2 linked regions of the Nothobranchius furzeri genome follow. The protein of the gene in region 1 interacts with the protein of each later gene in a biochemical or structural test. Links are inferred from orthologs where the notes say so. Each region holds a gene or a part of one and is shown in the gene's direction. Other genes may lie near its edges.

Region 1 (3,654 bases):
CACTCATCTCTGTCCTGTTAGATCAACGGACACGTTCTTTATGGCCACAGCCATCAGAATGCGTCGTCTATTATCAAGAGTTCCTCATCCAAAGTCAAAATCATCTTTATCAGGTAAAAAAAAACGGTTGTATTTGGTGTAATTCTTCTAAATGTCCACCAGAGGAAGCTATTGTTATTCTACAGATTTGCTCAGTGTTGCACAACATTTTTAAAAATGTATAGCAACAATATAATTTTAGTTGTCTGCTAGTTAAACATAATAGTAATTATTATTGGTATGTTTTAACTAGTTGTTCACAGAATGATTAAAAAGCAGCTTTTTTGTGATCAAAGATGAGTTTTACTACCTATAATTGCTCTGCTGCCTGAAACAGAGACGGACTCTCAGCCTCATCATCACCAGGGACATGTTTGACCTCTGACCCTAGTTTTAGTCTTATCCAGGATCCAACTACTTAACCCCCCTACTTAACTCACATCCCAGTCCTGACCCCCCCCCCCCCCCCCCCCCCCCCCTGCTGAAACAGACACAGAGCAGCCTGCGTATATTACCATTCCCTCTGTCCCGGAGCAGAGGAGCAGTGGTTTACGTGAGTTATGACTCTGTGGAACAGGAACACGGAGGCACTGAACCAGATGGCTGTGGGACCTGTGAGAGAGCACGAGGGAGGCGCAGAGGAGCCCCACGCTGCTGAGGTGCGATCATAAAACACAAGAACTCCCAACACACTCCCATCGTGCAGCTGGTAGAAAGTGACGCTTGACTTCACTTTACTTCTGGTCTTCTTGTACAATAATTAGGCTTTTACTCTGCGTCATGCATCTGACTTCTGTGTTTATCCCCCTGTGTGGTCGAGGGAACTCCCTAAACACCCAGAAAACCTCAAACTGTAGTTTGGAAAACTCATAATGCCGAGGTGGACCAGTGTGGATTTTAATGAGACTGATGTGCTGATTTCTTTTTAAATTAACGCAGCTACTTCATATTCTTTTTTTTTTTTTTACCTCCATCTTATAAAAATAGACTCCTAATGACCTACTGAAATGGTCTGCATCCTGTGGCTCTGACGCCACTCATGGTTCTTTGGCTCAGTTGAAATTGCTCCTTGTACTTATGAGCAAAAATGAGTCATTTTAACATTTAAGCTGATAAAAGACAATGATAATTTTAGCAGTTTTCCATTCCAATTGTTGCAAATATTCATGAAGTTTCTGCCACAGAATGAATAATAATACCAGTAGGTTTTAGTGCCAGATGCAACTAATAACTTGGGTTTTAACCAAAAGGTTTTAAAATATTAGTTTTACTGATGGGCTAATTGTTTGTGTTTTATTTTTGCTTGTTTTAAAAAATTCTACTTTAAAGGGGCATTATGGAAGTTTGACAGCCAAAACATGTATAGAAATAATAAATTTCTTCTTCATACATTCTCCTGCAAGGCCCTGGTCCTGTAGAATGAGCCCTGGCATTTTTACTGTGATTGCCTGTTTTTCCGTAAAATCACAGAAAAAGAGAGCTGCTCGGGTCGAGCAGGCTGCTTCATGCGCGTTCACGCACAGGCATCGCCCGTAGCATTTGCTATCCGTCGCTTTAGCAGCAGAGAGTGAGGTAGTGCCAACACAGCGACAAGTGATGAACCTAGCTACATTTCTGAGGACCATTAGCTACTTTCTTCTAGATTTTTCCTGCAAATTAGCAACAAAATAGCCATTTTCGCTCCGGACCGTTCTTTGGATTGACGTTGTTTCAGCTGTCATCAAGGGTATAAACGTTACAGATACAAAGAATGTCACTGGCACTTTAGCTCACTTAGTGAGACGTCTGACTCTCATGTAGGAGACCTGGGTTAAATTCTGGGTGTGAATAAAGAGTTTCTTTTTTACATTAGTGATAATTTGTTTTACAGTAATAAGACACCCAGATTTTTATTTGAGACTTGCCGAACGGCGTTGAATTCACAGGTAAAAAAGATGTGGGTTCAACTTTCATTTTGGAACAATTTTTCAAGCAAGGGAAGGGAATGATCTGAGCATGCAGGAGGACTGACCCATCATAAACCTTTGTCGGCTGTGCTGAAGAGAAAGGTACAGAACCAAATTATTTAATTAATTAGCTGCACGTTCTCCTGTCCTCTGTCCTCCAGGCCACACACACACACACACACACACTGCACGTTCGGCCGGCTGACGAGAAAGTGCAGCTGCAGAGACAGAGGGACATTATTTTTATTAATTTCCTGTGTTCTTCTGTCCTCCGGGCCACACACACACACACGGGACTGTCTCAGCTGTTATTTTCATTAAGGAGTGTACACGTACAGCATGCACGCCTCGTGCACGAGCCTACTATTGAAGCTGCCATTAAGCTTTTGGCCTGAGGGGGCAATCGCGAGCATAAAAATTCAAAACTCCGAAAAGTCCCTTTAAATTAAAAAGCACAAGGTAGTTTTATAGATGCACCAATTCTGGTGTTGAGAGCCAATACCGATTTCTGATGTTTGTACGGCTCTAAGCTGCCAGTACATAGTTTGGGCTGTCAAAGCTCAGTGGCCTAGTGGTAGAGTGTCCTCCCTGAGACTGGGAGATCAGGGTTCGATTCCTGGTCGGGTCTTACCAAAGACTTTGAAACAATGCGACCTAATGCCTCCCTGCTTGACACTCAGGATTAATGGGTTGGATTGGGGGTTAAACCACCAAATGGTTCCCGAGCGCGGCTGTTTCTGCAGCTCACCGCTCCCCCAGGGGATGGGTCAAATGCGGAGAACAAATGTCGCACACACATAAGTGTGTGTGACAACTATTGGGACTTTAACTTTAACAAAGGACTAAAATGAATAGATTTTCAATTAACTCGGAAATGGTTTGTTAGGATATAATAACTAAATAAATAATGAGTTTAAAAAAATTTTTTTGTTCTAAATTTATTTGAACTTAAATAAGGTAAAAAAGATTAATTAAAACTTGGCAATAAAAACCGGCATTATAAAATATTTAATTGCAAGCAGTCAGCATCCCCATATGTGGACATTGGTCCTCAGAGGTTAAGACAGGTGACAGTACCACACAGCTAGCTGTTCTTAAAACACAGAAAAATAAAAAATAATGAACTTCTGATAATGGAAGACTGATACTTTAAGCATTTTAATAATTTGTTATTTGCTTAGTTTATTTAATGGTTGTTCGTTAAGACACTAAGGTGCAGTTTGATGATATATTTATCTCAGGGTCATAGGGCTCATTTTCCTAGAGAACTACTGTGTTTATTCTTTTTTTTACTTTGAACTAAGAGATGGTAGAAATTTTGTAGTAAATGTCGTTGATTCCTGACTTAATTTTTAAATAAACATTAAGAACACTTAAGAAAATATATCAGGCTGACACATTGATCTGACTCTATTTAAATGTTCATCTGTTCTCTCACAGCCTCAGCTGGCTGCAGAATACGACGGTGATGCGTCCGAACATGTTCATCCTGTGGTAAAGGTTGAGGTGAGACACACCACCCTAACAAAGGTAACAGGAAGAACGTCTGGTGGCACGAATGAGGAAGGTGCACAAATAAATGCCACATAGTATGACAAAGAAAGTCGGAGTGCAGACAGGAGCAGTATATTTTCACAGTCTGGAGAGGGCAGAAGGAAAGAAAGTAGAT
Region 2 (3,654 bases), on another chromosome or scaffold:
CGGTCAAAAATCAGCAATGTTTCCTAGTTTTATACACACACCCATCCAGCTGTGTTCGTTTCCTTGTGCAGCTATTACCCTTTAACTTGCTTAAATCAATATCTTAGAAAAACAATTAACTCTTCTTTCTCTGCACTTTGCTCCTTATTATCTCATTCCCCTGTGTTGTTATTGGTCAGTGTTCAGAGCCGGTGTCATACAGCCTCTCAGGAATTGGCCTCTAAAAATAAACTCACCTTGATGTATGGAACATGAAAAGCTGCTCCATTTCATTAATATTCACTAGATTGTATTATATTTCCCCCAGCTGCTGGGTGGGTTCCAGACCAATTTGCATGACTATATTTAGTGGCAGTTTCTACAGCAGCATTACATCGACTGTGTGTGTGTGTGTGTGTGTGTGTGTGTGTGTGTGTGTGTGTGTGTGTGTGTGTGTGTGTGTGTGTGTGTGTGTGTGTGTGTGTGTGTGCAGTTAAGGCTCATGCACCAGCTGTTCACATGGCAGTGGCTTTACCTGGCTGTGTGTGTTTGTAGTTAGGAGCAGGATTCATCAGCTCCAGCTTGGTTCCATGTGAATGAGTCATTCCATCCATCACTGCGTGGTCGCTGTGGAATTAGCTTTTTAAAAGCAAACAATGAGCTGCACGTCTTTGAAAACTATAACCCCACAGACGTGGACATATTTGAATGTTGACACAAGTACAATCAGGAACCAGTGACAAAAACTCAAACAAACATTTTTCTGACCCTTCATTAGCTTTCAATCTGGTCAGAGATCAGCTGAAAATCAAGCTGTTTATCAGTATTGTGAGGCTGCACTGACCTGAGTGCAGTGCTGATGTGAAAACAAACCTCCCTCAATATTTTTGTTTTAATAAGACGGTTTAAAGCCAGCAGCTGGATTTACAGCCAGCCTGCGTGGAGAGTTTGCTGACTGAATCTGCAGCAAAGTGCTGCCACACATAGGCAACAAGAAGTGGCTTTAAAACAAGGACCAACAGACAAGTTGTAGTACAGTAAAAACACACTTAGCATGCAAGTAAAATACTGAATCTTATCAGAAGACCAGCTACTAGCAGACAAGGTAAGACAACGCTAATCAGAAGGGAATTAGGCTGGAGAGTTCAGTAGAGCACACATGGAACCATGATAGGTTCAAGAACCAGAAACATGAACCGATCACAACAATTATTTATTCAATCAAACTTGTATTGCACAAGTGTTGGTCTCTTCTTAACCATTTCCTGCTCTTTGCAGATTACAAGTGGCCCCTTCCCTCCGACCTCTGCCCCATCTGGATCTACCTGGACGTTCTTTTCTCCACAGCATCCATCATGCATCTCTGTGCAATTTCTCTGGACCGATACATCGCCATACGGAACCCGATCCACCACAGCCGCTTCAATTCACACACCAAGGCTCGGGTCAAGATCATGGCAGTGTGGACCATCTCAGTGGGTAAGCACGCCAAGAAATGTCTGTGTCGGCAAATTCTTCAGTGTCACAAACATAAACAGAAACATGTCTGCAAGCCTTTATGTACAGGCACGTGAGTATGAAGCTAATGTTTTATTACAAGACATGTGGGGTAATCATAGGCAAAAACCCTGGGGGGGGGGGGGGACATGTCCCCCTCTGACATAAATGTGTGTCCCCCCCCCCCTCCCCCAAAACTCCATAAAACACTAAATGTTTTTCGTTTTAACAATATATTCACTTTTGTTGAATGCTCAATACAAGTTGTGCTACTTAAAAACACTTTGTGAGAGTTATAAGAAGTGAGAGATTTATGTCATTAATGTCACAAATATTAGACTAACTTGTTTCACTGTCATTTTACATTTATGTTGGACATTATTACTTAGAATCTAATTTTCTATTTCAGATTTTGTCTTTTTTTTGTTAGTTTTTTTTTATATAGTTCTACCTTTGACTTAGATATTCTGTTCAACAGATATTCATTTGGCAACATTCTGACTGGTTTCCACTCCATGTTTTCCTCTAATTAGATCAATTTTAAAGTCAAACATCTTTTTACACAGTATAGTAAGTTCACAGTGTTCTGGACTAGTTACATACACATTCATGCAAAAATAGTTTTCTTTTACAGCAGGAAAAGCTAAATGTAGGCCAAATAAACATATTATCAGCTGGCAGTGTTGGGAGTAATGCAATACAAAAGTAATTAATTACTGTAATGCATTGCTTTTTGCTGTAATGTGGTAATGTAAGGCATTACAGGGAAAGAAAATGGTAATATTTACTCGGTACAATTGTCAGTAATGCGGTAATTACAATGCATTTTTAAACCCAGAATCAAGATGTGTTCCTTAAAAATTCAAATTGCCGGAAGCCTGAAAAAAAGATCCAGTATCTGCATATATGACGTCATTTATGACTGACCTTATGTTACATTCACAAAATCACTCCACTAAAACAAAATAATTCACTTGCGATCGTTCATATCGGCGCATATTCTCTGGTACTTTCTGTACTTTTCTGACGTGCTTTGCCTCAGCTGAGTTCATAATCTGTATCCCGGTGATTTCAACTCATTGCTGCTGGAGCGCAGCGCATGTTAAGGTCCCTTTGGCTGATTAGTTAGAAAGTAGGAAGTCTAGGAAACCGTTTTTCTGGAAGACTGAGAAAAGATGCAGCATGCAGGAAGGTTAGAGGGAGAGGGCAGGAAATTATTCAAATTAAATCAAGAAAAGAAAAGTACTTGAAAAGAAAAAAAGAATAGGTAGATTTATCCCCAATGCACATTTTTACCAGTGAAAAGCAATAATATATAAGCATTTAATATTTATACATGTGATAGAGGAGGATCAGCACCTCCAAATCTGAGGCCATGGTTCCCGACCGGAAAAGGGTGGCTTGCCAACTCCGGGTCGGGACAGAGGTCCTACCTCAAGTGAAGGGGTTTAAGTATCTCGGGGTCTTGTTCACGAGTGAGGGTAGGAGGGATCGGGAGATCGACAGGCGGATTGGTTCGGCGTCTGCAGTGATGCGGACGCTGAGCCGATCTGTCGTGGTGGAGGGAGCTGAGCCAGAAAGCCAGGCTCTCGATTTACCGGTTGATCTACGTCCCAATCCTCACCTATGGTCATGAGCTTTGGGTAATGACCGAAAGAACGAGATCGCGGATACAAGCGGCCGAAATGAGTTTCCTCCGTAGGGTGGCCGGGCTCAGCCTTAGAGATAGGGTGAGGAGCTCGGACATTCGGGAGGGACTCGGAGTAGAACCGCTGCTCCTCCGGATCGAAAGGAGTCAGTTGAGGTGGTTTGGGCATCTGGTCAGGATGTCTCCTGGACGCCTCCCTGGGGAGGTGTTTCGGGCATGTCCTGCCGGCAGGAGGCCCCCGGGTCGACCCAGGACACGTTGGAGAGGTTACATCTCCAATCTGGTCTGGGAACGCCTTGGGGTCCTGCCGGAGGAGCTGGTGGAGGTGGTCGGGGAGAGGACGGTCTGGAGCTCCCTAGTTGGGATGCTGCCCCCGCGACCCGGACCCGGATAAGCGGAGGAAGACGACGACATGTGATAGAATCAGAACACCCTCAAAAGTCAGTCCCACATCCAGAGCTGTATCAAGGCATTTGGGGACCAAGGCTAAATCAGCTTGAAGCCCCCACCACCTCACTCCCTGCTCAGTT

The links.
Region 2: the proteins of multiple PDZ domain protein (region 1) and htr2aa form a complex in vitro, tested with the Homo sapiens proteins (2 studies listed by IntAct, with this or other methods). The link is inferred for Nothobranchius furzeri from reciprocal best matches to the Homo sapiens genes MPDZ and HTR2A.

The regions. Positions count from the first base shown.
Region 1 is NC_091742.1:68,620,703-68,624,356, forward strand, and holds part of multiple PDZ domain protein, read left to right. Parts: intron 1-21; coding exon 22-113; intron 114-616; coding exon 617-698; intron 699-3,425; coding exon 3,426-3,515; intron 3,516-3,654. UniProt on the Homo sapiens protein: Member of the NMDAR signaling complex that may play a role in control of AMPAR potentiation and synaptic plasticity in excitatory synapses. Promotes clustering of HT2RC at the cell surface.
Region 2 is NC_091754.1:35,498,859-35,502,512, reverse strand, and holds part of htr2aa (5-hydroxytryptamine receptor 2A), read left to right. Parts: intron 1-1,257; coding exon 1,258-1,458; intron 1,459-3,654. UniProt on the Homo sapiens protein: G-protein coupled receptor for 5-hydroxytryptamine (serotonin).